Callithrix jacchus: one gene and its partners. The protein of the gene in region 5 interacts with the protein of the main gene of each other region in a biochemical or structural test. Links are inferred from orthologs where the notes say so. Each region holds a gene or a part of one and is shown on either strand. Other genes may lie near its edges. The genes, in order: MYB, FOXO1, SREBF1, SMAD3, CREBBP, KAT2B and CARM1.

What was found.
Region 1: the proteins of CREBBP (region 5) and MYB form a complex in vitro, tested with the Homo sapiens proteins (6 studies listed by BioGRID, with this or other methods). The link is inferred for Callithrix jacchus from reciprocal best matches to the Homo sapiens genes CREBBP and MYB.
Region 2: the proteins of CREBBP (region 5) and FOXO1 form a complex in vitro, tested with the Homo sapiens proteins (3 studies listed by BioGRID, with this or other methods). The link is inferred for Callithrix jacchus from reciprocal best matches to the Homo sapiens genes CREBBP and FOXO1.
Region 3: the proteins of CREBBP (region 5) and SREBF1 form a complex in vitro, tested with the Homo sapiens proteins (5 studies listed by BioGRID, with this or other methods). The link is inferred for Callithrix jacchus from reciprocal best matches to the Homo sapiens genes CREBBP and SREBF1.
Region 4: the proteins of CREBBP (region 5) and SMAD3 form a complex in vitro, tested with the Homo sapiens proteins (3 studies listed by BioGRID, with this or other methods). The link is inferred for Callithrix jacchus from reciprocal best matches to the Homo sapiens genes CREBBP and SMAD3.
Region 6: the proteins of CREBBP (region 5) and KAT2B form a complex in vitro, tested with the Homo sapiens proteins (4 studies listed by BioGRID). The link is inferred for Callithrix jacchus from reciprocal best matches to the Homo sapiens genes CREBBP and KAT2B.
Region 7: of the proteins of CREBBP (region 5) and CARM1, one has a biochemical effect on the other in vitro, tested with the Homo sapiens proteins (4 studies listed by BioGRID, with this or other methods). The link is inferred for Callithrix jacchus from reciprocal best matches to the Homo sapiens genes CREBBP and CARM1.

The regions. Positions count from the first base shown.
Region 1 is NC_133505.1:141,913,437-141,917,045, reverse strand, and holds part of MYB (transcriptional activator Myb), read right to left. Parts: intron 2,076-3,609; coding exon 1,841-2,075; intron 574-1,840; coding exon 493-573; intron 46-492; coding exon 1-45. UniProt on the Homo sapiens protein: Transcriptional activator; DNA-binding protein that specifically recognize the sequence 5'-YAAC[GT]G-3'. Plays an important role in the control of proliferation and differentiation of hematopoietic progenitor cells.
Region 2 is NC_133506.1:159,848,011-159,852,091, reverse strand, and holds the start of FOXO1 (forkhead box protein O1), read left to right. Parts: upstream 1-1,237; 5' UTR 1,238-1,669; coding exon 1,670-2,296; intron 2,297-4,081. UniProt on the Homo sapiens protein: Transcription factor that is the main target of insulin signaling and regulates metabolic homeostasis in response to oxidative stress.
Region 3 is NC_133506.1:69,313,196-69,317,272, forward strand, and holds the start of SREBF1 (sterol regulatory element-binding protein 1), read left to right. Parts: upstream 1-1,207; 5' UTR 1,208-1,374; coding exon 1,375-1,465; intron 1,466-4,077.
Region 4 is NC_133509.1:14,237,896-14,241,504, reverse strand, and holds part of SMAD3 (mothers against decapentaplegic homolog 3), read right to left. Parts: intron 2,720-3,609; coding exon 2,575-2,719; intron 1-2,574. UniProt on the Homo sapiens protein: Receptor-regulated SMAD (R-SMAD) that is an intracellular signal transducer and transcriptional modulator activated by TGF-beta (transforming growth factor) and activin type 1 receptor kinases.
Region 5 is NC_133513.1:5,997,330-6,001,596, forward strand, and holds the start of CREBBP (CREB-binding protein), read right to left. Parts: upstream 2,808-4,267; 5' UTR 2,678-2,807; coding exon 2,593-2,677; intron 1-2,592. UniProt on the Homo sapiens protein: Acetylates histones, giving a specific tag for transcriptional activation. Mediates acetylation of histone H3 at 'Lys-18' and 'Lys-27' (H3K18ac and H3K27ac, respectively).
Region 6 is NC_133518.1:58,551,540-58,555,862, reverse strand, and holds the start of KAT2B (histone acetyltransferase KAT2B), read right to left. Parts: upstream 2,843-4,323; 5' UTR 2,768-2,842; coding exon 2,465-2,767; intron 1-2,464. UniProt on the Homo sapiens protein: Functions as a histone acetyltransferase (HAT) to promote transcriptional activation. Has significant histone acetyltransferase activity with core histones (H3 and H4), and also with nucleosome core particles.
Region 7 is NC_133523.1:10,039,675-10,043,877, reverse strand, and holds the start of CARM1 (histone-arginine methyltransferase CARM1), read right to left. Parts: upstream 2,835-4,203; 5' UTR 2,724-2,834; coding exon 2,501-2,723; intron 2,061-2,500; exon of another isoform or gene 1,863-2,060; coding exon of another isoform or gene 1,841-1,862; intron 1-1,840. UniProt on the Homo sapiens protein: Methylates (mono- and asymmetric dimethylation) the guanidino nitrogens of arginyl residues in several proteins involved in DNA packaging, transcription regulation, pre-mRNA splicing, and mRNA stability.

The DNA of each region.
Region 1 (3,609 bases), on a different chromosome or scaffold from region 5:
CTTTATTCGCTTTTCCTTCTCAGGGTCTTCATCATTATAGTGTCTCTGAAATTACAAGATAAGGGAAATAAAGACAAAGGTCTGATTGGAAGCTACAAATACAATGGGTGTAGCCTATATGGTCATGAGGTACCAAAGACAGCCCAAAGAGACTCAGTGTGACACCAACACCCACCAAATTTGGCTCCTATGGAAATCTCTATAAACGTTACTTCAGACTTAAGGGAGTGATGTGAAATCTCAGGCTAGAGTGGATGCTGACTGAGTTATTTCATCTTGTAACATCAAAGAATCAGAAAATTCCAGAGCAAACTCAGTCTAGAAGACAAGCTTGGTAGATGGCTAGCCGAGACTCTGCTCTCCTCTCCACATTCCCTTTCCTTTTAAGTTCAGTTGCTCAGGTGAAAATATGTGTTTAGATGAAAGAAATAAAGCATTTCTTAAAAGTGGTGCTTTGAATAGTAAATGAGTTTCTTTATAAAATGATCATACCTGAATGGCAGCGGCAGCTGGCTGAGGGACATTGACTATATTTACATGTAACGCTACAGGGTATGGAACATGACTGGAGACCTAGATGGGAAAGAGAGACAAAGGCCACGTCATTCAGGGTTACATATGCTTCAGGGGACTTGGCTTCCTGAGGTTTTGTTCTGGGACTGAAATACACTAAACAATTTTTAAAAACCTTTTACTGTGAAATTTAGCCAGGCCTTTAAAATGGTTAAATAGCTAAAGCAACATAGTAAAAAAATTTAAAGTGCTTATAGATCCTTGGGAAATGTTGATGAGCACTTTAAATTTTGGGAAGTTACTGGCACTTTAATTTCCTTAATTAGAGAAAAACACAATGAAAAAATAAAAAATATAATCTAAATACATGAATGAATGTTTGAAAATAGTTTCTATGGGAAAAACTAATGGCACCAGCTGTGTGTAAATAAAAATATTTTTCTTGGAATAATTATGAATTTTAATAAAAAGCACAGAACTTCTTATGATAATGTATTCATCTGAGACCTTTCTGTAAAGTTTGTAGTCAAATGCATGAACAGAGAAGAATAAAAACTATTTATGAACATGTTTTGCATAGAATTTGCATATAAGCCTACCCATTCTTGGGTAAGTTTCATCATTTATTATTGTTAGTCTTAAGATTAAAGCTTCTCGATTTCTTTTCCTCTTTTTCTTTTCCCACCTATTATGGATTATCTCTTTCTCTAAATAAAAACATCTAGAAATAAGGAAGGGATCACACTGATCCAAAGGAGACTAAGAGGAGGCATCAGAAAATGAATGTCACAAAGTTCTGCTCCTGACTTAGAATAAGAGGGTAAACACTTACTGAGTGAATAAATCAAGACATGTCTGCTAGATCATTACCAGAACTGAATATACCATAACCACTGAATTTCACTGTCAAACTCTTTAAATATATCTTTAAATATATCTTTCCTTTTGGTTTTGGTAGAGAAAAGTGTTACATCTACAAATGCAACTCCATTCCCTTATTCTTCAACCGTACCTTAAGTACATTTACATTCAAAGGTTACCTTCAAATTAGATTTGAAGCAGCAAGTTAGAATTCTAGTCAACACTATCTCTATGTCACCCTGAGCAAAGCACTTACCATCTTCATTTCTGAAGACATAAACCAGTGATAACAAACAATATCTACACCCTATCTACCTCATGATCATGCCCAGGAAAGTTGAAGACGACTGGCCATGATCATGCCCAGGAAGGTTCTCTGAACAGTATACAACTGCAAAATATGATTACTACCTGGAGCTAAATTAACCATCTCTCTCATTAAACCAGATTCTCAAGAATGGCTTACATTTTGTGCTTCAGAAATGTGGTAATAGGAATAGTCATTGTTAACGGAGGGCTGGCCAGTTGCAGGGAGTTGAGCTGTAGGTGGAGCCTGAGCAAAACCCATCAAATGACTGTTCTTCTGGAAGCTTGTGGCCACTGCTGGCTGGCTGGCTTTTGAAGAGTCCTGCAGATAACCTTCCTGTTCGACCTTCCGACGCATTGTAGAATTCCAGTGGTTCTTGATAGCATTATCAGTTCTGCACAGAAATATATCACATACAAATTTCACAAACAAAAAATTTCAATTCAGATTAAAGTGAATTGACAGAAAACTGTTTCTAACACAGACCTTTCCCTTGGGCCCAGTCATAGTTTTCCCCCTTTTTAATGGTTTTCTTCTTCTCCACCCCCTAAGATCAGGCTTTCTCTATTGCCTTGTTAGAAATCCATAGATTTCTCTTAGTTACACAATCTGGAATGCACATCGTTTTCTAGAAATGTCAGTATCTTTTAACCATTTCATTTCCTTGGTAAAGGAGTATTTTCAATACAATGACGCTTCATAATTATTCTGACCGTTTGTGGTACAAGACTCTAACACAATGTGAAGTTCCAGCTGCTTTGAAGAAATTCCTTCTTTGAATGCAGCACAGCAGGGCCTACACACCACAATAGGGACACGGTGAAGTTTGGTGGGTGATAAGATGCTGCTGATGAAGAATACTTCACTCTTTATCTCTCGAAGGACTAGCAAGAACTTTTGAGACCAAAAAACCTCCTACCCTTTAAAAACCACCCCAATTGTTATTCCAATCAGACAGAGATGAGGGTGGAAAATGGCATTCCCAAGGGAAAGATCCTAACCCCCGCAGTATAGTTTCAAACAGCAACGCCTTTTTACTAAAGTCTTTCCATTCTCAGGAAAAACAGTTTCTCAATTCAAAAAAACCGTTTAAGCCTCCCTTTTACTATTTCAATGGGGGTGGGGGAATGCATGCTAAAGAAAGAGGAAGTTCGATAGCCTTGTTAATTTTGAGAAGAATCAGCAGTGTATCCTCTGAGGCCATATGGGAATGAAGACCTCTTTTTACCAACCTCTTGAATTTTCTAAGTTTATACTGAACCACGAGGGTGCAAATGCATTGGAGCATCACTGGAGAATACTACATAAACTTTCTCCTGGATTATGAAGCTCAAGAATAAAACTATTTTTAATATTTTCTATCTGTATCATTTTTATGCAAAATTTATCATTAAAAGTACTGCTTTCCAGAGTAACAAAATCTGTTATATACTATTTAAGTGGGAAAATGGGACAAAAATGAGCTTCCATAGTTATCTCTCATAATGAGGTCATTTCTTTGCCTTGTTCATTAAAAAGAAAGCATTATTATATTGACATTTAAAATCCTTGAAGTAGTATGAGAATTCGAGAAATACCTTATTTCTTTAATCAATGGAGTAAAAAATTAAGCAAAGTGGTATAATAAAATGAATATTGGTGGCCAGGTACAGTGGCCCATGCCTATAATCTCAGCACTTTGGGAGGCAAAAGGATTGCTTGAGGCCAGGAGTTTGAGACCAGCCAGGGCAACACAGTAAGATCAACTCTACAAAAGTGTTTTAAAATCAGTTGGGTGTAGTGGCGTGCACCTGTAGGCCTAGCTACTCAAGAGGCTGAGGTGAAAGGATCCCTTGAGCCCAGGAGTTCAAGGATGTATTGAGCTATGCTCATGCCCCTGCACTCCAGCCTGTGTGACAGAAGAAGCCTCTGTCTCTTAAAAAAAAAAA
Region 2 (4,081 bases), on a different chromosome or scaffold from region 5:
TTGGCCCCACTGATCCTTGACAGGATGTCCTGGACCTGCAGCCCAGATGAGGAAAGATGGGGTGTGGGTGGGGGTTTGACTGACGCACACAGCAAGTAGCCTCAAGAACTTGGGGGTGGGGCAGGCTGCGCCCCAAGGCTTTGGTCCTATCCCCCGCCCCCCCCCGCCGTTTTTACTTAACACCCGATCACTTCCGTTGTAAATATAAAATAACAAACAGTTAAATTTAATTAGGGGTAGGTAGTAAAGTGTCTTGGTTCTCGATAACTGCGTTCCTAAGCCCTTCGCTGCGGGCCCTGAACTCAGTGGACGAAGCTGGAAGTTCCCGCCCAGGGGAAGAAGTTCCCACGGAGGGCAGGCGGTTGCGGGTGCCTTTGGATCCCTGTCTGCACTGAGACCGGAGTACCTCCTCCGGGCGCCGGAGTCCCAGTTCCTCACGTTTAGCCCTTTAAAAAAGGTCAAGGATACAGTAAATCCGGCTGGGGGCTGCTCGGCTGGGCGACGCGTCCGCAGCTAGACAGAAAGGCACAGGCTGAGCCCGGGGGTGCGGACAGGTGGGCGCGGGGCGCGGAGAAGGCACCCTAGGCGCGGACTCCACCGCGGGGGGCCGCGGCGCCTGGGGCGGGGGGCGCGTGCCGCCCGTGCGGGGGCCGGAGGACTTGACAGATCGCAGCGAAAGAAAACATTCAACCAAAACAAAACCCAGCGATTCCCCACGTTGCTCAGCAAAGACTTCGTGGGTGGAGCCAGGAGGGAGCTACTGGGTAGAATTCTGCGCGGCCGCCTCCGCCCGTCCACCCCGCGCCCCCGGCCCCCGGCCCTGCCCGCTCGCGGGACTCGGCCCGCAGCCGAGGTCAGGGCGTAGCGAGCGCCTCGTCCCACCCGGGCTTCCAGAGTACTCGGCTCTGCAGCTCCGTAGTAAACAAAGTGTCGCCGCCACCTCCACGCTGGTTTGCTTCCTAGCAATCAAAACACTGAGAAGGCGAGAGAATCACAGAAACACTCGAGAATTACCAGAAAATAACAGAGATCCAAAAAAAATAAAAAAGGTGTGTGAAAGAGAAAAACACCCCGCTACCCCCACCAGCCCACTGCCGCCTCCCGGCGGAAAACCGGGCCCCGCCCAGCCCGGAGCGCACTGGCTGCCCGGGCGGCGGTGCCGCGTGCCCATTGGCTGCGCGAACTGTCGGTCAGGGGCGGGCCGGCGCGCGCGTCGCCGCGGGCGGGGGGCGGCGGCAGATCCCGTAAGTCGGGCGGCCTCGTAGTTGCTGCAGCCGCCGCCGCCGCCGCCGCCACATTCAACAGGCAGCAGCGCAGCGGGCGCGCCGCCGGGCAAAGCGAGCGGCCGCGGCGTCCGTCCGTCCTTCCGTCCGCGGCCCTGTCAGCGGGAGCGCGGCGCAGGCTGTGCCCCGGCTCGGCGGCTCCGGCCCGCCGTCCAGTCCGTGCGGCAGACCCCGAGGAGCCTGGATGTGGATGGCCCCGCGAAGTTAAGTTCTGGGCTCGCGCCTGCACCCCGCCGCGCCTTCCTCCCAGTGTCCGTCCGCTCGGCGCACCGGCTTCGTCCCCCCAAATCCCGGACCGTCTCTTCGCGCCCCCTCGCCCTCTGCCCCCGGTGCTGCGCTCTTCCCCTCTCGGCTCTCTCGCGGCTGGGGGAGGGGCGGGGGTCACCATGGCCGAAGCGCCCCAGGTGGTGGAGATCGACCCGGACTTCGAGCCGCTGCCCCGGCCGCGCTCGTGCACCTGGCCGCTGCCCAGGCCGGAGTTTAGCCAGTCCAGTTCGGCCACCTCCAGCCCGGCGCCGTCGGGCGGCGCGGCTGCCAATCCCGACGCCGCGGCGGGCCTGCCCTCGGCCTCGGCGGCCGCTGTCAGCGCTGAGTTCATGAGCAACCTGAGCCTGCTGGAGGAGAACGAGGACTTCCCGCAGGCGCCCGGCTCCGTGGCGGCGGCGGTGGCGGCGGCTGCCGTGGCCGCCGCCGGGGGACTGTGCGGGGACTTCCAGGGCCCGGAGGCGGGCTGCCTGCACCCAGCGCCGCCGCAGCCCCCGCCGCCCGGGCCGCTGCCGCAGCACCCACCAGTGCCCCCCGCCGCCGCCGGGCCGCTCGCGGGACAGCCGCGCAAGAGCAGCTCGTCCCGCCGCAACGCGTGGGGCAACCTGTCCTACGCTGACCTCATCACCAAGGCCATCGAGAGTTCGGCGGAGAAGCGGCTCACGCTGTCGCAGATCTACGAGTGGATGGTCAAGAGCGTGCCCTACTTCAAGGATAAGGGTGACAGCAACAGCTCCGCGGGCTGGAAGGTGAGCGGCCTCGGCGCGCGGCCGGACCTTGGGGGCGCGGTGGGGCAGGCGAGGGCGCAGCTGTGCAGGTTTGCTCGGCCCGAGGGTGCGGGGCAGGAGGGCAGCGCGTGCCTAGGAGGGCGGGCGCGAATCGGTGGTCGCAGTGGGCTCGCCCGGGTCCGTCCGGGACCGCAGTAGGTGTGCGCGCGCGCCAGAGTCCGCGTGGGACGCGGACAGGGGTTCGTTGGGGAACTAAGTAAAGAACGTGCGTCAAGAAGTGGACGTCAGAGCGGCCGAAAAGTTTGCCAGTGAAAGGAGAAAGGGGTTCGCTGGGAGCGGCACCCCCACGGCCCGCGCTGACTGCTTCGGCTGCCCCTTCCCTCCTTGACCTCCGCGGGGCGAGGGCGGGTCCTCTCCCGCCGCGCCGCGAGGCTGTTTCCGCCGGGCGCGGCGGGGGAGGGCACGGAAAGGGTCCCCGGAGCCTCCCTGCCCCGGGACGGGGCTGCAGGTGGAGGGGACTGGCAGAGCGCGATCGGCTGGGGACGGTGTAAGTCCGGCCACGCAGTTTCGGGAGGCGGTGCGCATTTTGCTTTGTTTTGGTTTTCTCCGGAGTGGCCTCGAGTTCAGGGGGCCGGGCGTCCCGATCCCGAGGTGGCGCCTCCGACACGTGCGAAGGGGCGGCCACCGCCTGCGGAGCGCCGGCGCCCGGCCGCGCGGGGCGAGCTAAAGTTCAAGTGTGACCCTCGGCGGGGGCGGGCGCGGGCGGTGACGAGGGAGGGGCTCTGGGCGCAGGAAGCTAGTGCCTTTAAAGGGCCAGCGCGTCCGGGTCGGGCGCCTTGGGGCCCGCGCTTCCCCATGGGGGAAGCGCCCGAATCTGGTCTTGCCCCTGGTACGAGGCTTTTAGTTAGAAACACAGAGGCTGCCCTGGGGTGCCGGGGGCTGGGATGTGTGCGTCTTTTCCTGCCTTGCTCTACCCTATTCTTGAGCGGGGAGGTCCAGATGGGGGAGCTGGGGGCCAGACGAGGGGCTTTGCGACCAGTGTTTTGACGGAGTCGGAGTGGCGGTGCGCGTTGAGGGAGCGGAGCCTGGAAGGAGGATTTTTGCCTTTCAGAACGTGGCCAGGAGGCACTTCAGCGTGGGGGCAGGCACTTACCGACTCCGAGGAGGGCCTCGGCTAGGTCCGGGGAGGCTTCCCGGGGGCGAGGTCCAGTCGCCGCGCGGCCTCCCCAAGCTGACAGTTTCTCACTGTCACCGGTGGCAGAACTGCTGTAAAGGCTGACTAGTTGAGTAAACACTGTTTTTTGAGACGGAGTCTCGCTCTGTCGCCAGGCTGGAGTGCAGTGGTGCGATCTTGGCTCACTGCAACCTCCGACTCCCTGGTTCACGCGATTCTCTGCCTCAGCCTTCCGAGTAGCCGGGATTACAGGCAGGAACCACCACGCCCAGCTAATTTTTGTATTTTTAGTAGAGACGGCGTTTTACCATGTTGACCAGAATGGTCTCGATCTCCTGACTTCGTGATCCGCCCACCTCGGCCTCCCAAAATGTTGGGGATAACAGGCGTGAGCCACTGCGCCCGGCCGAGCTAAACACCTTTTAAAACAAACTTTCCTCGCCTCTCTTGTCGACTGTATAGCATAATAAAGATTGGTGTTTGCTGCGCAGTTGTTAAACCAAGGTTATTTTACATAGTGTCGTCCCTGTGGTTAAAGCGTGTCAAAAAGGTTAAGTTACTCACACCGTATTGAAGCTCCTGGAGGAGTTCAAGATGCATTTTATTTTTTCCAAAGTATGTTTTAGAGTAAA
Region 3 (4,077 bases), on a different chromosome or scaffold from region 5:
CACAGGAATTTTACTCCTGCTTAGGGTGTGGTCAGACCATATCTGGAGTCTGAGCAAGGCAGTCTGCAGGATGGCTTGACTCATTAAAGCCCAGGGTCCAGAGGGCCTGAGGACCAGGCCCTGGTGAGTTTCCTTGGCTGCCCTCCACCAAGGGTGCTTCTGTCTGCTTGCATACCTCTGGGGACAGGGAGCTCACTGTCTTATCACATTCAGATAACTGAATGTTAATTCTGGTTTATTTCAACCCACCTCATTGGGACCCCTTCCCTCCTTCCCGCTCCACCTGGCTCTGTCCCTAGGCCACAGAACTGGGTTTGGTTTCTCTCTTCTCATCAGGGCTGTCTGCTCTGACCTAGTCCCAGCTGTCATGGTCCAGGGCAGCCTGGCTCTGAGCTAAAGCTCAGCCAACTCTTCCTTGTGGCCCCTGTCTTGGCCACTCCCAGGAACAAGCACCAAATTTGGGATCAGACAGCCCTGGGGCCAGCCGTCCTTGGGTACCCGCTTCCTCTGTCAGGAGCGGCACTGGGCCTGCTGGGGTCCTATCCCTAGGGCTGGATCTGGGACGAAACCAGATGACGACGATAGGAAATTCCAGCCTCTTTCTTCAGTCACTCCTGTCTTCAGGTGGCCAATCTTCTGGTTTCTTTGGAGAGAGGGCAGGCTGATCTCCACATCGTCACTAGCCTCCCAGCCTGCCGGTGAGGAAGCATCATGAGGCCCACGTTACAAATGAGGGAAACTGAAGCTGAGTGATGTAACTGGCCCAGCAGTTACATCAGGTCTGCTCACAACACAGCAAACCTGGGACCCCTGTAACTTGGGTCCTGGTCTGTGTTGTTCTCAAGAGTGAAATCTAGGAAGTGAGGAAGCTTTGGTTTGTGATGGGCCCAGGCCTGGGGCTTCCACTCAGCTCCTTGCTTGGTGCTGGAGAAACCGAGGCCCAGAGAGAGGACTTGGTTTACCCGCGTTCCCGCAGCAGCCGGCCAGAGGCCGCTCTGCCACGGTGCGCGAGGCTGGACAAAATGAATGACTGGAGGGCGCTCTGGAGGAGGGGCCCGCTGAGGGCAGATTTGTGGCGCAGACTGGGGATCAGGGGTACCCGCTCTCTCAAGGTGGGGCGGGGCCGTCTATCTGGGAGGGCGGGGCCTCCCCCGAAAGGCCCCGCCTCCTCCTTCACCGCCCAGCGGAGCCGCTGCCGCGGGAACCCAGTTTCCGAGGAACTTTTCGCGGGCGCCGGACCTCCTGCGAGGCCAGGGCAGGACACGAACGCGTGGAGCGGCGGCGGAAGCTGCGAGCCGGGACCGGCGGCAGTCCCTCAGAAGGGCCGTGCGCGGCGGCGGGCCCGGCGGGCCTCCCGGAGGAGGCGGCTGCGCCATGGACGAGCTGCCCTTCAGCGAGGCGGTTTTGGAGCAGGCGTTGAGCGAGCCGTGCGATCTGGACGCGGCGCTGCTGACCGACATCGAAGGTGCGTCAGGGTGGGCAGGGCTTGAAGCCGCGCCGGGTGGCGCGAGTGGGGGGCGCGCAGGTGGCTCCCTGGCCTTTGTCTCCCCCCTCCCCGGGCGCCAGCTTCGTGCTGAGCTGCGCGCCGTGGACCTCGGTGTCCCGGGCCTCGCCGAGCCTTCCTGGCTCCCGCCCTGGCGTTTCGAGCCGCGCGCTCGGCGAGGACTCCCGGGCCGGGCCGGTGTCCCTTGGCGGCTCCGGGCCGGGACACGTGCGCCTCTACGCGTCCCAGGCCGGGTACCGCCCGACCGGTGGGTGAGTCTCCAGCCCTGTGGCGGCCGCGGCTGGAGCTGGGGACCCGGGCGTCGTCGAAGCCCCGCCCCAGCCCCAGCCGTGACGTCAATGAGAGGTTACTCACGGTCATTCCCTCCGGCCCGAGAGTTCAGCTGGGCGTCGGAGCTCGTGCGCAAGCGCACGGGCGCTGCTCGCCCACTTGCCCGGCCACGGGTCGGGTTTCCCCGGTCTTCTACCGGCATCGCCTCCGCACTCATTCACTAACCGAATGCCAGGCCCCGTCTTAAGCACCGAGGGATCACAGACAGTCCTGGGCACCCGCTCTTTTCGGGAACACCATCCCCCGGGAAACCAGCAAATAGATATTTAGTTGCACGTTGGGTGGAGCGGGGCGAGGGGAGGGCAGGTAGGTGGCTACTTTGGGTAGAGCGTCAGGGACTTCTGAGCTGAGACCTGAGGGCCACCCCCAGGACTAGCAGGGAAAGATGTTTTCCAGGCCAGGGCGAGGGAAGGGCGAAGGCCCCGAGGCAGGGCCTAAGTGTGAGGAGTTAAAGGCTCGTAAAGGTTGCGGAGGGAGAGGACGCCAGCAGCCTTACTCGGCCAGGGAAGGGGCGGAGCAGGACCGCGGCACCTGCTTCCATCTTTGGAGCACCACACTGGCTGTCAGGGGACGGGGTTTGGGGCCAACGGTGGCACTAAGTGCCAGTTAGGAGGCCCGTTGCTTCCATTTTGCAGACAGCAAAGGAAAGTCCCAGCAAATTTCCTCCATGGTTTCCGTGCAGGAGCTTTAGCAACATGGGCTAAGTTGCACTTGGTTGATGAGGAAACTGAGGACGAGGTTGCAGGAAGAAGATGCCTAGACTCACAACCTGAATGGACATGTCCGTGGAACCTGTGGCCACCCTGGGGCTGGCAAAACAGATGTATCTATGCCACCCCCACTCCTGCCCTACTGCAGCCTTGCAGATGAGCTCAGCTGGCTGCCAGCTCCAGGAGCTTCCCAGCCCTTCCTCCTTCCCTCTGGGGCTTGGCTAGGGGAGGACCCAAGAGGAGAGGCCCTGATTTTGAGGCTTTTCCAAAACAGCCTCCCCTACACCTGGCAGGAGGGGTTGTCCTTCACTGCATCCTGGAAAGGTGGACCCTGAAATCCCAAGCCCTAGGGAGATCTAGGCCTGACTTAACTAGTTCCATAGCACAGGGCCCAGTGAGGGTAGTCCAAGAGGCAGCAGGACCAAGCCAGCCGGACATGGGCTTTGGGGTCAGAACTTGAACCTGGATGCTCCTCACTTCCTCTGCCATCCTGCTCAAGCCCTCTCACTCTCTGAACCTTAGTTTCCACCTCCAGAAGAATGAGGATACAAACCCTCCCTTCATGGGCAGCTGGACAGCAGAATCCGGTCTGGGCCACAGGTCTGATACAGACCTTTCTTACTGACTCATGGATAAAAACACTGTCTCTCCAGATCCAAAGGCCAGGCATGGGCAGCCATGTGGCCCAAGTTCTAGTCTGTGAGAGAGCCCCAGTGCCTTGAAGATTCGGCAGCCCCTTCTCACTAGGCAGGCCCAGCTTTACCCAGTTCAGTAGAGGATTTTTCAGTTTTTATTCAAACTTCCTGTTCTTTCCAATTAAACATATTTTTTTTTTATTATTTGTTTTGTTTTGTTTTTTGAGTCGGAGTTTCACTCTTGTTACCCAGGCTGGAGTGCAATGACGCGATCTTGGCTCACTGCAACCTCCGCCTCCTGGGTTCAGGCAATTTTCCTGCCTCAGCCTCCCAAGTAGCTGATATTACAGGCATGTGCCACCATGCCCAGCTAATTTTTTGTATTTTTAGTAGAGCTGGGATTTCACCATGTTGACCAGGATGGTCTCGATCTCTTAACCTCGTGATCCACCCACCTCGGTCTCCCAAAGTGCTGGAATTACAGGTGTGAGCCACCGTGCCCAGCCCCAATTACACATCTTTTTTCATTGTAGAACAATTAGCAAGTGCAAGTGAGCAAAAAGAAGAAACTAAAACCTTTAGACCAGGTGTGGTGGCTCACGCCTATAATCCCAGCACTTTAGGAGGTTGAAGCAGGAGGACTACTTTTATCCAGAAATTTGAGACCAGCCTCGGCCACATGACAAGATCCTGTCTCTACAAAAATAAAAAAATTAGCTGGGTGTGGGTAACACATGTTTGTAGTCTCAGCCATGCTGGAGGCTGAAGTGGGAGGACTGCTTGAAGCTGGAGCTGCAGTGAGCTGTAACTGCGCCACTGCACGCAGCCTGGGTGACAGTGAGATTCTGTCTCAAATAAAACTTTAAAGCTATCACCCAGAGATAAGCCCTGCTAATTA
Region 4 (3,609 bases), on a different chromosome or scaffold from region 5:
TGCAGGGTACCCCAGAGGCCCACCAGTTACTGTAACAGGTTCCCTAATAAAGGAGACCTCCAGCCTAAGCAGAGGACTCCCTGGCTCCCATCTGTACCACATGGGCTCGTGCCACTCCCCTATCTCCAAATCCAGGCCCAGCCCCAGCAGGCCGTGATGACGTGTGTCTGTCTGATTGAGGGGTGTTTTTTACAAAGTGCCAACAGTGTCCGCATGCCTTTGGTTCCCAATGTGCTGATATAATTCTCATCTACAGCCTTATTTTGGAAAATCTTACAAGCAGAGTGAGCCATGGAACAATTACTGGAAAAAACCAAGGCACACCACACGTTTCTTTTCGCCAAAGCACTTTGTCTAAATTCAGGCTTGTTGATGACGCAGCATGCAGGCAGGCTCCCAAAGGCCTCCACTGAGCAAAGGCTATCTGCTGAGGCTGGAGTCACTGGTGCCAGCTGGAGGTGAGAGGTGTGGGCCTTGGGCCCTGCTTTCGGCCACCTCACAGAGAGAAGGGCTGAAATCTTACTCTCCTTGGCCCAACAGGCAGAACGACAACAAGGCTGTTCTGGGAAGGGGCCGTGCCTGCCCGTTGGGCTGCTGTGCAGTGCTGCCAGGCAGCAGTGACGCGGTGGGCCTCAGAGGACTGGGTGTGCTGGCAGGACATCCCGCGTGGTGATACAGTGTCCCCAGGGACAGGCTCCACCACCAAAGAGCCTCTCCTAGCACTTACAGCGCTGCGATGCCGTACCACGAACAGGGCTGCTGTCTGGAGGGCATCACCCTCCTTGCTTGGCCTATGCTTTGCTTGTACAGAGGGGAGGTTCAGAAATGGGCCTGTACATCCTGGGGAATCTGCATCAGCAAGGGTACCTGAGTGTGGCCCTCTGGACTACAGCCTGGTGTAAGAAGAGCAAATGGATGTCCCCTTGCTCTTTTCCACTGCAGTCCATCTTTAAAGATGTCCCTTCTCCACTAAAAAAAAGATTCACTCCCGTTCCCTAAATGTTCTAAGCCAGGGCTAAAAGGTTTTAAAACATTTCTCCAGTTGGACCTTTGGACCTGGGCTAATCTCTTCAGGCCATACCATGGTTGTAAGTTCTTCTGAGGTCTGACCACTGTGATTGCTCAATTGGTCACTCCTGGATTTCAGAGACACTCCAGAGACCAAGGGGCTATGTTCCCTGACACCCTGGGGCAGACGCAGAAGAACAGCAGCTAAAATACGGTAAGTGGAAGAGGAGGATTTTACAGGATGAAATCCTCTAATGAGAATCTGACTTTCCATAAGTCATTCTCATCTGGATTTCATTACAAACGGTGGCCCGAGGCCAACACTGAAATGGGTTTGGCCTGGGTGCAGCATGACTGCAAAACAAAATGGATTCCAAACATCTGGAAAAATGAGAAGGGGAGAATAGCTTGCAAGGCGCTGGCTCCAGCTGACGTGTGGGCACCTCTGTGTCTGCCACGGGAGCTGGCTGGGGGCTGGCAGGGGGGAGTGTGGAGCAGAAGGCGGGGACACACAGCCCTGCCTCTCAGCAAACTCCTGTCCATGAGTGGAAAGAAAAGGGATGTGATTCTCTAAATCCAAAGCAGAATGGCCTGAGAGATTCAACCAAGCAGACCAAGTAGACCTGAACTCCTATCAGGGCCATGTTTAAACCAAAATCTAGGGCTGGGCATGGGGGTTCCTGCCTGTCATCCCATCACTTTGGGAGGCTGAGGCAGGTGGATCTCCTGAGCTCAGGAGTTTGAGGCCACCCTAGGCAACGCGGTGAAACTCCCTCTCTACTAAAACAACAAAAAATTAGCTGGATATGGTGGTGTGCTCCTGTAATCCCAACTACTCGGGAGGCTGAGGCAGGAGACTCACTTGAGTCCCAGAGGTAGAGATTGCAGTGAGCCGAGATTGCGTCATTGCACTTCAGCTTGGGTGACAGAGTGAGACTCCATCTCAAAAAAGAAAAGAAACCAGTATCTAGAATTCTAAAAAAGTCATTTCTCAGCAAGGAAATTTTGTTCCTTTATCACTACCCAAATCACCTCCCTTCCCTGCCTCTCAGTTTTAATATCCTGGGCTCCTCAGCATCACCACGGTCCCTGAGTCAGAAGTGGAGCCACGGAGGAGAAAAGGAACGATGAGCTGAAGACCTAATGTCCTGAAGAGGGTCATTCTAAAACATCAACCCAAAATGAAGAATAAGGAAGAAGCCAAGAGGGCAGAGTTCTAGACACAGCTCTTCTACCCGGGTGACTTCAGGCAAGTCACGTTTCCTCCCTGGGCCTTAGCTCTCATGTGTACAGGGGGATGATGCCAGTGTCCCCACCCAGGGCTGGGACGAGGGTAAGATGGAGCGTGTGTTTACAATGCCTGCAGCTGTTCGGTTCCATCAAGCATTACTCTGTGCTGCTGCCCCAGCCCCTCCTGCCTGCTAGGCCATGACTTCTCTCTGATCTTTGATCTCTACTATGGACCCCAGGGATGGCCTGGCTCACCTCTGAGGAGTCCCTGGCTGCTCTGCTGTCCCAAGTCACCTGGAGTTAGGTCCCCTGATGTTGGCAGCACCCATAACTGACCTGTACTCTGCTCCCCAGCCTTTGACGAAGCTCATGCGGATGGTGCACATGCGGGTCAACTGGTAGACAGCCTCGAAGCCCTGGTTGACGGATTGGGCCAGGAGGGCAGCGAACTCCTGGTTGTTGAAGATCTTCAGGTTGCATCCTGCCAACAACACAGAAACAGGACTGGGGGGTAGAAAAAGCCAGGTCCATTGCTCCTGTCCTGCATAAAGCAAGCCCTGGATCCCCCAGACCAGCCTGACTGATGCAGCTCCGGGGACACACGGTGTGTGATGCATTTCCCATACACTCCACAGTAGTACCACTCGAGAGACAGGCTGACTTGATCCTCCCCTTGAACCCACCTCCTCACCAGGAGGTGCACAGCTGACATATCTGCAAGGGGAGATGGAAGACTGGCCCATAAGTTCTGACTCCCAGAGTGGAGAGAATTCTCCAAGTGGGCCTCTGAGAATAGGGAGATGGTGTGGAGAGACAAGGGACCTGGGCCAGGGTGCCCATGCTGTGTGGGGTCTGGTTGCCCACCTAGGAACAGGAGCTCTGGCTGTTCCATAGCAGGCAGTGCCAGCAGGGACAGGCTGGCCGAAAGGCTACTGGGCCTGCTGTCCCATGGGAAGCTCAGCAGAGGGCCCAGGATAACTTCCACCTGGGCTCCTCTGATGAATACACCTGGTACTGGGGCTAGGCGGGAAGGCAAGATCTGGGCCACATTTTGGCCTCTGGCACCAGGCTGGGTGGAGGTGACATTCACAGCTAAGTGAAGGTGTGCATCTAATTCTCCAGACAGTCAAACTAAAGACAGTCACAAAGTTTAAAATAAATGTCGTTTGAAGTCATACTGCCTGAGTGCCAGGAATGTGTGAACCCAAAAAATAAAGACAAAAGCACATGCCGGAAATAGCCAAAAGGTGAGCTGGGGTGACGCTTATGAATGAGCCAACAGCAGTCTCCTGTTCTTGCTGTGTGACTCTGAGCTGGTCACATTCTCTTGGGGACCCTGTGTCTCTGTATAATGAGGGGCTGGCCTCAGAG
Region 5 (4,267 bases):
CCTGGGAGCCTGGGAGACACATCCCCTCGATAAAAAGATTGAGTCCCTCAAAAATGTTATTCTCTGGTCTGTCCCACATGACCAAATGCCTCCAGTCCTTAAGACGACTGCAGGCATTTATCTGTTTAATATACATCCCTCAGATCTCCAACCATCTCATTACTTGATTTCTTAGATTAGTAGTTAAACCAGACATGGTCATCCCGTTTTTTTTTTTTTTGGAGACAGGCTCACTCTATCACCCAGGGAGAGTGCAGCAGCAAGATCTCGGCTCACTGCAACCTCTGCCTCCCAGGTTCAAGCGATTCTCATGCCTCAGCCTCCCAAGTAGCTGGGATTACAGACACCTGCCACTCACTATGCCTGGCTGGCTAATTTTTGTATTTTTAATAAAGAAAGAGTTTTGTCATGCTGGCCAGGCTGGTCTGGAAGTCCTGGCCTCAAGTGATCCGCCCACGTCCACCTCCCAAAGTGCTGAGATTACACACATGAGCCATGGTGCTTGGCCCCTTGTTTAATGTGGTTGATAAGGATTCATTCCTTGATCCTCCACACGAACAGCCCCTTTCACAATAGTGTGATGGTGATGAACGGTAACCCAGGACCCAGCTTAAGTATGATGCTGATTTTCTATTTTGGACTAAATTGGACCATCTCAAACTGACTTTTGTTTCCACAAAAGAGCTCCTGAGCCTTGCAAGGATCAAAATTGGAAAGGAAGGGGGAAAGGGTGAGTAAGTGTGGAAAATCCTTTCTGATCAACTTTGTTCTTTACTAAGTAAACAATTTTGTTATTTATTAAGCATCTGGCCATCCAATAACGGAAACTATCAAAAAACCTATCCTTTGGGCTCCATCTTGGAAACAGCTGGATGTACACAGGACAAAGCTTTTTGTTAACGCTTGTGTTACTAACTGTCCTCCTTTTTAACACAAAATCTACAACAAATTCATTCAACAATAGCAGAGCCACAAAGCCACCCAGGTTACCAGTCTCAGCAGACAGCCTTCACAACTGAACTTGCCTTGTATGACCTACCTACGTCTCACAGAAGTGAAGGTTCTTCACTCAAACACAGCAAAGTTAATGAAGAAACGGAGATCTGTTTTGCAGCAAAGATCTCTTAAACTATTGTTCTTTAAGGGACTTAAAACTATTTTGTTTACAGATTTCTCACTTCAATAAGTTCATTTTATAAGATTAATGTCAAACTCAACTTTTAATCAGCTAAAAAGAAAAGCATTATTAGTGATTTTTATATACCTCGAGCATCGTTTACTTCTCCCCACTGTTTAAGGAATTTTAACTTGATAAGTTCTCTCCTCGTGATTTTTAAAAATAGTTTTTCACTTCTACATTAATATTAAATGTCGCTTATCAAAACTTGATTCCAGGAATTGTAGTCAAGCTTAAGCCACAAAATTCAAGTTTTGTTTCAACAGCAGAAGCAGATTTCTGAATATGCTAGTGGTCGGTCACAGAAATATTTCCACGAGTTGAACAGCTGTGTCTAGTGCAAATCTGAAGGCAGCAATGTAATTCAATTTGGACTCATTCATTAGAAACTGACTTTCAGACGCTGCCACTGCAAGACTACTGGAGAAATGCAAGCTGCGCTGGAGACAGAATTGTTCGCAGCGGCACACAAGTTTTTGCCACAAAGGAAAGAGCTCTCAAAGAGGAAATACAACTAGTTCATGTTACCATGAACCAGCGCAGGAGGACCCAGAATTACTGAATGAATAGAAAACTAAAGTACTACTCTTAAACAGCTATGATTACTCAAGAAACTTTCCAGGGAAGCTGTTTAATTAGAGGAAACAAACAAAAAAGGTGATTTATTCCGTATCCTGGTATATTTTTTAGAAAAATTGGAATTCCTACATTCCTTAATTTTTTGTACATGTACACGGTGAAAACAACACAAACTCAAACGGTGACTGCAGCCGAAATGAACTTAAAATCTGCCGTTTCACTTTCTTTTGAAGTTATACATGGAAACGAAACACTAAATGCCTAGTTGACAAAAAAAAAAAAAAAGTTTTGAAAATAAGCACTAAGCATCCTTCCAAGGAACTCACTCATTCCTAACTTCAGTCTAACTCAAAGCTGGCGGCTGCTCTGCGTCCTCTGACTGCAGCCTGGTCAATGTGTCGCCAATCAAGAAAACACATCGCGCTACCTCTGGCCGCGATCTTGCTTTCTCTAAGCATCAAATGTACCCTCCGCTGTCATTCCTCTGGACAGCCACGCGTGTGGACGGCCGTGGAAGGGTGCGTAGGGCATTCCCAAACAAACCCACACGCTGCACTTTACTTCTTCTCTTCTGGAGTGCCACTCACGTCCCCGCGAGGAGGGCTGATCAGGGGCGGGTAGGCCGAGTGCATCGTGCATGTGCTGCCCCATCTGGGCCCAGTGACAGTCCTGCGACGAACTTCCACCCTCCGGCGCGGGGCGAGAGGAACCGGCTGCCGGACCTGCTCCGGGCTCCCGGCTCGGTCGGTCTCCGCGACCACGACCCCTGGGCACTCTCTTCCGGATGGGGGTGACAGCGCGCCCCGGGATCCCGCTGCCCCGGACCCCCTCCTCACCTGTGCTGTCATTCGCCGAGAAGCCGGGCGAGCTGAGTTTGGCTCGTTTGGGGTTAGGAGGTCCGTCCAGCAAGTTCTCGGCCATTTTCACCTGCTCGCGAAAACAGCCCCGGGAGCGGGCGGCCGGGCAGGCGAGGGCCCGGGCGGGGGTCGGGGGCCCGGCCGGCTGCGAGGGAGAGGAGCGAGCGCCGGCCGTGAGCCGGCGGGCGGGCGCCGAGGGAGAGGGAGGGCGCAGGCCGGGTGGGGGAGGCGGCGGCCAAATCTCAGCCACAGCAACAGCGCCCCGCAGCGCTCACCGCCCGCCCCCGGCCGCCGCCGCCGCCGCCGCCGCCGCCGGCCGCGGCCCCCTCATCCCCTGCCCGCCTCCCGAGCGCGACACTCCGCGGCGGGGACGCCCCGGCGGCCCGGCTGCCCCCCCGGGGCCGGCTGGCAGCGACGGCGCCCGGCCGAGCGGCTCAGGCAGTCCCCGGGAACATGGTGGTGCCGCCGCCGCCTCGCTCCCCCCCCCGCGCCCCACTTAATGAATTCGCTCGCGGCCCGACGACGAGGGGGCTCCGGGCTCCGCTCCCCACCCGCGGCCCGCCGCCGCCGCCGCCGTGAGGAAAAACAATGCGCCGAGCGGGGTCGCCGCCGCCGCCGCCGCGGCCCCCCCACCCCCCGTTCCGCCGCCGCCGCCGCCGCCGCTGCCGCCGCCGCCGCCGCCGGGCTCCGGGAGGCCGAGCCGAGAGGCGAGCGGGGCCGCCGGGGCGGGCGCCGAGGGCCGGGCGGAGCGGGCCGGCCGGGCGGAGCGGGGTACGCGGGCGGTTGTGGGGCCCGGGACCGGCGGGGCCGAGTAGATCGCGCTCGAAGCCCCGGTCGGGTCCGCGACAAGATGGCGGCTGTTGATTCCTCAATTAAAAAAAAAAGAAAGTTTTTTTTCTTCTCTTTCCAGAGCCTGAACGGGGAGGGGGTGGGGGCGGGGCACGCCAGTGCGTCACCCCCCCCCGCGGCGTCACCACGCACAGCCCCCGCCCCGCCCCCTCCACCTGCGCCGGCCGCGGCGGAAAGAGCCGAGCGTGCTCGGGCGGAAGGGCCGAAGGCGCGGCCGCTGAGCAAGGGGCGGCGGGTGGCCGGGCGCGGGCGAGGCCTGCGGGACGCCGGGGCTACGGGCTGAGCCGCGGCTTTTGTTCTGACGGCGACTAGGCGACGACTGCCGTGGTTCCTGGCCCGAGCGGACTCCAGGAGCAGCGGCCTGGCCATGGATCGGGCCTTGGGGTGTGGAGTCGACGCCGGCCCGGGCCCGCCCGTCTCGCTGGGGCGGCGGTGCTTGTTCCCAGCTCCGCGCTTCCCGGAGACCCTCCTCGGTGGTGTCGGGCGGGGACTGCCGGGGGCGACCCCAGCCCAGACCACGCCACGCCACTAGCCCTCGCCGCCAGGGAAGTGGAATGGCCCCTGCGAGGTACAGACCGCCCTCGGGTCCGCCGACGAGGTGGGCCGATGGGGAAACTGAGGCAGGAAGGGCAGAGCAACTTCTCCAAAGTCGCCAAGGCAGAAAGTGGCAGGGCCAGAATTCGGATCCCGCCCCACCTCGTGATACTAGAGAGTGAGGGGACCTCACGCCTGTTCCCAGCCCGAGGCGGCGAGGCCGATATCCTCACCTATGAGAGTGGGGTGGCGAGCGCCAGCCTGGGCCGAG
Region 6 (4,323 bases), on a different chromosome or scaffold from region 5:
CTGTCTCAAAAGAAAAAGAATTTTTTTAAAAATAAAAGAAATTTTCTCTTACTATAAGTTGGGTCATAAAAGTGACCAGAAAACACTCAAATCTCAAACTTTGGAAGTGGTGCTACATCTCACCCATGGAAATTTGAAAAGATCACAGGTATCAATGCAGGGCACATATGCTCATGGTTTTAGATAAAACCAAAATTTCAGGAAAGTTTTCAGATATTAAAGGTACAGCAGGCAGCAGGAAATCTTTAACAGGTGCTAGTGAGGAGAACCCAATAAATAAAATTAAAAATAAAGCCAGGACAGGCCGGGCACAGTGGCTCACGTCTATAATCCCAGCACTTTGGGAGGCCAAGGCGGGCAGGTCACCTGAGGTCAGGAGTTTGAGACCACCCTGACCAACATGGAGAAACTCCATCTCTATTAAAATACAAAAAATTAGCCAGGCATGGTGGCGCATGCCTGTAATCCCAAGCTGCTTGGGAGGCTGAGGCAGGAGAAACGCTTGAACCTGGGAGGCAGAGGTTGCAGTGAGCCAAGTTCACGCCACTGAAGTCCAGCCCGGGCAATAAGGGCGAATCTCCATTTCAAAAATAATTAAATAAAGCCAGTACAGAAACACTGAGTTGACACAGTTCCTACACGAGCCCACTTCGGCTGCAAAACACCAAGGCCACCAAGAAATTGACCTTCTTCTGTGTTTTCATAGGTTTTGGGGAAGAGGTGGTTGTTTAGTTACATGAGTAAGTTCTTTAGTGGTGATCTGTTAGATTTTGGTGTACCTATCACCCAAGCAGTACGCCCTATACCCATGACCTTGTTCTTAATTCTATACACAGCTCTCCCTTCTGCCTGCCACAGTCAGTGTCCTGTTCTCATCAGTCTAACGCCCTTCATCATCAACTCCTGGGCTTGTGCCTTTCTTAGAAGCACACTCCCAACTTCATCTTCTTTGCATTCCTTCTTCAGAAATAACCACATGGCATTATTATTTGTTTCTGTCTTTTCTACTGAATTCAAAGAGCCAAATAATATACTGCCCAGTTCTGAACTGGAACGTGGTCTGTGGACTAGCGTAGTATCACTTAGGAGTTGGTCAGAAATGCAGACCCTCAGCTTCCACCTCAGACCAGCTGGTTCAGAATCAGCATTTTAACCAGTTTCCCCAGGAGATTCCTATCCACATTAACGTTTGAGGAGCAGTGGGCTAGATCCTACATTCACTCAACAAATATTTATTGAACCAGTATAGGACACAGAGGTGCTCAATATAAACATGAGGATATGGTGTGGAAAAAGAGCAAGCACAGACATTCCATTGCGACTGAGAAGCTCCTGTAAGTACTAAAAAGAGTCTAACCGAGATGTTCTAGTAGGATAAATTATAGTTATGTCACAATTCAGAAGTGGCCCCTGCAGCTTGGTTGTGGGAATCAGGAATCTGGAACCGGGCAACCTGACCCTGCTTGCAGCAGGCAGGAAGAACACATGGGAGGTGTGTGTGTGTGTGAGTGTGTCTCTTCCCTGCCTCAGCCACAGGCCGCAGGAGCTGACAAGGCCAAGTCCCCGCCCCCCTCAGCTGTCACCCTGTCAAAACAAAGCCGCTGCTGACAGCGCAGGGCCAGCCTGCCCCGCGGCCTCGGGCATTGCTCCCACCTCGGGAGCACAGCCTCCACATCTGGATCTGCAGCTGGGGGTGACGGGGTTCCTAAACTGGCATGGAGAGTGGATAGCAAGAAATAGGTGTCCTCACACTGGGCAGTAGTGCCCGCTGTGCTGGGCTGTCACCTTGCCAAATCCTGTTTACACCTCGAGCAGCTGGGACAGCGTTTTAACTAAACAAGTAATAATACAATAATGACAGGGCTGTCACTGCGCCCGGCAGTGCCTCCGCCCCCAGCCGAGGGCGCCAGGCTCCAAGAGACCCTCGCCTCGAGCTCTGCCCACCTTCCCGCCCCGCGCCTTCCTCCCCTTCGCTTTCCCAAAGCGCCAAGAGTCCGCGAGTCTTCACCCCCACTCCTTGTACCCAGTTCCTCCCAATGGGACAAGGGAGGAGATCGACTGCAGAAGGGACCACTCAGTGCGCCAAAAGATTTTTCTTTGCCCCGGGGTCTCCCGCCACATGGAGAGCACCGTTCCACTCCCGGCAAAGTGACTCCAGCGAGCTCCTACAGAGCAACAAAACCCCAGGGTAGCCCGGGAGCTCGGAAGCCGAAGCCACTCTTTTCAAGCTGAAGGAACGAAGGGCTCTCGGTCTTAGCGATCCCCCTTCTTCAAACCCAGCAGGACTCTTATCCAAGAAGAAGCTAATTGGGCGCGGGCGACAAGAGCACTTCCGCGGTGCAGCGGCCCCAGGCGGGAGGCGAGAGGCAGGAGGCGGGAGGCGGGGGTGAAGGAGGGAGGGGGAGGGGGTCCCGCGGGCTGGGCCCCTAGCACCATCCGCGGTCCGAGAGCAGCCCGCGCGTACCTTGCAGGCGGAGTACACTCCGAGTTTCTCCAGTTTCTTGGCCCGTGGAGCGGAGCGTAGTTGCGCCTTCTTCACGGCGATTCGGGCCGAGCCACCGCCTCCCGGTCCTTCGGCCGTGCCCGCTGCAGCCACTGCCGTAGCCGGACCGCAGGCGCCCGAGCCCCCGGCGGCAGCAGCGCAGGGGGAGCCCTGCGGGGGCGCGGGCGGCAGCGCCGCAGGCGGGGGGGGCAGCGCCCCGGGCCCGGCCCCTGCCCCGGCTCCTGCCCCGCAGCCGCCCGGCCCGGCCCCGCCAGCCTCGGACATGCCGCCCCGGAGCACGGCAGGAGGCGCCGAGTGTCAGGCGCCGCCGCCGCCGCCAGGGTCTCCCTCTCGGGCTCTGGTCGTCGGGAGAGCGAGACCCTCCCCCCACGCCCTCCCGCCCCCTTCGCCCACCCCCCTCCCCGCCCCCGCCCTCCCCCGCGCGCGCCGCTTGCCCGGCTCGCTCCGGCCGGGGCCCGCGCGCTGATGGTGGTGGCGGCTGTGGCGGCGGCGACGGCAGCGGCGGCAGCTGCTCCCCCAGGAGGGAGGGGACTAGCGGCTCCGCTGCCGCCACCGCCGCCACAGCACACGCCCTCCCTCGGTTCTCCTGCCCGGGACTCTGCTCGGCGCCCTGGCCGCGGACATGTTCCTCGGGGCTGCGGACTGGGTGTGCGTGCCGGCGGCCGCCAGCCTCCTAGTGTGCCGGAGCCGGGAGGCCCCCCACGGCCTCTTTTCCGCTGCCCGCGGGGTTTGCACCCCCCACCCGGGTGCCTCGACACCTACGGCTCGCCCGCCAGGGGGCGAGGCCAATCCCTGGGTGTGGGTGAGGGTGGGGACGAGGGTGGGGGTAGGGGCCTGGAGCCCAGGCACCTGCTGGCCACCTCCCCCCTCCGCAGCCCCCCATCCGACCCCGCACGCCCGCGCCAGTGTGAGGGGGCAGCCTCTCAGTCATTTGTCCTTCCACTCTCTTCCACCCTGTCTCTGAGCGGAGAGACAACTTCCTCCACCCTAGCGGGAGCCAGAGGAAAAAAAAAATACATTTTTGAAAAGTACCCGTCCATGCTAATCCTTTTCTTTGTTGCTAATTCATCAAAATAAAGGCGTGATGTTCTCCCTTTCTCTTTTTAAACACTTTCTGTCAAACTGTGTTTTAACATAATTAACACTTTCTTCCCATAGCAATTTCTGGGCCAAATCTGCCAGAGGGGGGGGAAAAACTTAATATTCTCTGTAATTTTTGTTTGAAAGTGCTGGTTGCTCAAAGAACGATTGCCTAAAATCATTGTCAAAATAAAAACTATGTGCAGTGGAAAAAGTTTAAATACAAAAAGTTTGTTAACAGGATTCGTCTCTGGGTGGTGGTTCTATAACGTTTCGTAGTTTTCAAAATTGTACCATCAGCGTGCATATTAACCAGGAAAAAAAAATTAAGCATCATTCAAAAGAATAAATATTGATTTTGGCTTCAAACTTTCAAAAGAAAAAAAAAAGACAACCTCAACTCAGTGTTTTCAACTCTTGTTGAAAACTATTGTTTTCACTGTTGATGACTGGAGCATAGATGTCAGTGCTGCGTTTGAAATGGTGTACCGTTGGTCGCCTTCCTAAAGCAGGTTTTAAAAGCCCAGGCTGTTTCCCAGGACCCTTCAGAAGTGCCCTACTTTTTGTTGTATGTAATGTGGGTCATAATGTGCTTATTATCAGACTCTACCCATGCTGTATAGCTCCCCAGCCAGACGCCTTAAGGGTTGTGTTTTTCCTTCAAAACAGTCCCCCTCTCCTTTTTCCAGATTCTCTATGTTCTTTTGACTTGTAGTGCAGGATAATGTATAGTCATGGGG
Region 7 (4,203 bases), on a different chromosome or scaffold from region 5:
AGGAGCCTGGGCAACACAGTAGCATAGTGAAACCTAGTCTCTAATGATAAAAAGTGTTTCTGTTGCAATTACCTCTCAAAGAGAAGTTCTGTCTTAATAATAAGGAATATTCGAGAATAACAACAAAACAAAAAACACACAAAATGTTACTCCAGGAGTAAGAAAACACGAAAGGGGCAAAGGGGCCGGGCGGGGTGGGTGACTCACGCCTGTAATCCCAGCACTTCCGGAGGCCGAGGCGGGTGGATCACAAGGTCAAGGGATAGAGACCATCCTGGTCAACATGGTGAAACCCCGTCTCTACTAAAAATACAAAAATTAGCTGGGCATGGTGGCGCGCGCCTGTAATCCCAGCTACTCGGGAGGCTGAGGCAGGAGAATTGCCTGAACCCGGGAGGTGGAGGCTGCGGTGAGCCGAGATCGCGCCATTGCACTGCAGCCTGGGTAACAAGAGCGAAACTCCATCTCAAAAAAACAAAAAACAAAAAAAAAACTAAAACTGTTCTAAAAGTTGTGTTTTGTTTTGTTTTTTGAGACGGAGGCTGGCTCTGTCTCCCAGGCTAGAGTGCAATGGCTCAGCTCACTGCAACCTCTGCCTCCCAGGTTCAGGTGATTCTCCTGCCTCTGCCTCCCTAGTAGCTGGGACTACAGGAACGTGCCTCCCTGGCCAGCTAATTTTTGTATTTTTAGTAGAGACAACAGGGTTTCACCATGTTAGTCAGCCAGGTCTCAAACTCCTGACATCAAGTGATCCTTCCACCTTGGCCTCCCAAAGTGTTGACCCACGGTGCCTGGTCCAAAAAAAAAACTTAAAGGTTTATTTAAAAATCATAGCCAGGGCCGGGCACAGTGGCTCACACCTGTAATCCCAGCACTTTAGGAGGCTGAGGCGGGCCGATCATGAGGTCAGAAGTTCAAGACCAGCCTGGCCAGCACAGTGAAACCCCATCTCTACTAAAAAAAAAAAAAAAAAAAAAATACAAAAAATTAGCTGGGCATGGTGGCGAAGGCCTGTAGTCCCAGCTACTCAGGAGGCTGAGGTAGAATTGCTTGAACCCAGGAGGTGGAGGTTGCAGTGAGCCGAGATAGCACCATTGCACTCCAGCCTGGGAGACAGAGTGAGAATCTTTCTCAAAAAACAAAACAAAAAAAAGATAGCCAGCTCTCCTGGAACTCCTTTGAGGATAAGCTCCGGGACCCTAGTTTTAGAAATGCTCCCCCACTTTGTTCTGTTCAGGACAGAACTATCTACCAATTCTTCACCAATGAATAGGTTTTGTTTGTGATCTGGGGTTCTACTGAGCTGAGTGTCTGCCTTGAACTCTGAAAGCCCCCCTGAAATATCCTCCTTCCCCTCTCCTCATCTGGTTCAAGAAGACCCAGGCTCTGCCCCAGCAAAGAGACGGCACCCTTGTGCAGCAGACACGGCTCCTTTAGTCCACGTTCTCAAAGTCGAGGTTCAGGGAAAACCCAGTGTGAACCGACTGCTCCTCGGGATTTCCGTTAATCGGCCCATTCCCAAAGTGGCAAAAAATTCACACGGGACCCAAGCCAGCTAGAGGCCTCCTGAGGGGCTCACCAGGGCATCAGTGCCAGAAGCCCAGAGAGACAAAGCCAAATGACACAGAATAGCAAAATGTGAACCAGGAATCAAAGAGAAGAGATAAGAAGAATAACAAGAAGAATGAACTACAAAGACCGGGGGCGGTGGGGGCGGCAAAAACATTTGTGATTTTCTCCCGCCCCACCATCCCGTGAAATGTCAGTTTTGAAAGCAGCTTCGGAAAATGTAACCAGCGTCTCACATCCCTGGTGAAGGGATGGGAGAGAGCTGTGTTACCTCTTACTTCCAAGCCCGGCATCAGGAAGGGGCCCCGCCAGTTCACGTTTCCACCAGGAGCTCATCCTGCGGCTCCCACCGTCCACGCATGGGTCCTCTCCCCAGGTCCCGAAGTTTCCCTCTCGGGGGTCCTAAACACCATGCCTTTCACAGGGGTGGAACTCGGTCCTCCCGGGCAAGCAAACACTTTCCGACCGTCCTGAGCTGTCCAGGGGTCCCCAGAGAGAATTCCGGGCCGCCCACGCCCCACCCTGCTCCCTGCAGAGGCGGCCACGCCCGCCCCCGAGACGCCCACCTCTCCTGCACCCCAAGCCTCCCTACCCCACGCTTAAGCCCCCCATGCCCAGCTTCCTTCAAATTCCCCTTCCACTCAGGGCCCCCCACTTCCTGCCCACCCTCCCCTCTCAAATCTCAGGCCCCTCACTCCCCATTTCCCGCTTCCCTGCTCACTCCGGGTACCTCGCCCCTCCGGCCACCACGCACGCCCTCTTTTCTCTGTCTGATCTCTGGCACCCGCCCTCCACGCGCCCTCCCTGCCGGCCACGGGCTCGGCCCCTGGGACCCCACGCCAGGGCCCCGGGCCCCTCCCTGCCGGCCCCCGCCCCGAGCCGGCCTCGTGCGCACCCCGGCCCTGCACCCGCCCCGGGGCCCCGCACTCACGGCTGTAGAGGGCGATGCCCGCCGCGTCCGGGCCGGCGCGCACCTCGAGGCGCAGCGCCTGCTGTTCCGCGTGCCGCTGGATCTCGCCGTTCGCGTCGCCGATGGTGAGGAGGCGGGCGCCGGGGAACACGGACACGGCCGCGCAGGGCCCCGCGCCGCCCGGACCCGCCACCCCCGCGCCGCCCGCGCCCGGCCCCACCGCCGCCGTCGCCGCCGCTGCCATCTTAGATCCGGCTCCAGGCCCCGCCGTCGCCGCTGCGCCCGGGCCCAGGTCGCCGCCGCCGCCGCCGCCGCCGCCGCCGTGCAGGCCGAGGCCGAGGCCGAGCCGGGCAGCGCCGCCTGCCGGCCACGCTCCGCCTCGCTGCCGCCGCCGCCACCGCTGCCGCAGCCCGGCCGCGTGGTGCTGCGCCCCCTGCCGGCCACCCTGGGCGCGGGGAGCGAGCGAGCGCGCGAGCGCGCGCCAGGGAGCGGGACCGCCCCGCCCCGCGAGAACGGTCGCCGCTTTGTGAGGTGGCTCCGCCGCCCGGAACAGAGGGGCAGGAGTGTGCGTCGGGGCGGTGCTCGGGCTGGCGGACACGCCCGTCGGAGACCCGGGCCCCGCCCCCAAGCCCGCGCCTCCTTAACGGCCGCGTTGGGTAAGGCGGCGCGGGGGCGCGGAGACGCGGAGACGGAGAGGCTTTGCTCCGTCGCACGGACACGCCCTGAACCCCGCCCTGGACCCCGCCCCGCATGAACGGCCGCCCTTTGTGATGCGGCTTCCCGGCCCCAACCTGGACACGCCCCTGACACCGGGCTCCGCCCCCCGGGCCCGCCCGGCTTTGTGAGGCAGCCCGCAGGGAGGCGGGGCCCGGCCGCTACGATGCCCCGTACCTGCCCGCGCCCTCCCGACCGGACTCGCTTTGTGAGGCGCCCCGCTCTGGGAACGGGCTTGGGGGGGAGGCGTGGTCAGCACTCGGGGCACGCCCCCACTCTGTGGCCCCGCCTCCTGGTCTCCCCGACATCGACCGTTTCCGAAGGGCCTCCGCCTCCTAGCGCAATCTAAGCCTGGTTGAAAGGACCTCTTCCCGTCTTTCGACCGCCCCTCCTTCCTTCCTTATCATCTCTGCCCCCCACACTCCCTTCTTCATCCTTAAAGTTTTTTTATTTTTTTTATTAAAAAAAATTTTTTTTTTAAATAAAGACGGGGTTTCACCATGTTGGTCAGGCTGGTGTTGAATCCCGACCTCAGGTGATCCGCCAGCCTTCGCCTCCAAAGTGTTGGATTACAGGCGTGATTCCCACCATGCCCGGCCCATCCTTAAAGTTTAACTCCTTTCGCACAAGATATCCTTGACCCCCTCCTCTCTGAGCCGTTCCTCCAAAGATGCTAAGTCCAGCCCAGCCCGGCGCTGGCACCCTCTCCCGCAACACAAACCCCTGTGTCTCTCTGCATCCCCCCTCACTTTCGGTGGCCCCATCCCTTTTGGGCCACCTCCCAGCACCCCAGCTTTAACTCTCCCCGAAACCTCATTTACGCCTCCTTCCTTTTTTAAAAAAACAAAGCCTCGCCCTGCGGCCAGGCTGTAGTGCAGTGCTGCGATCTCAGCTCACTGCAACCTCTGCCTCCCGGTTCAATTCCCCTGCCTCAGCCTCCCGAATAGCTGGGGCTACAGGCGAGCACCACCATGCCCAGCTAACTTTTGTTGTTGTATTGTAGTAGAGAT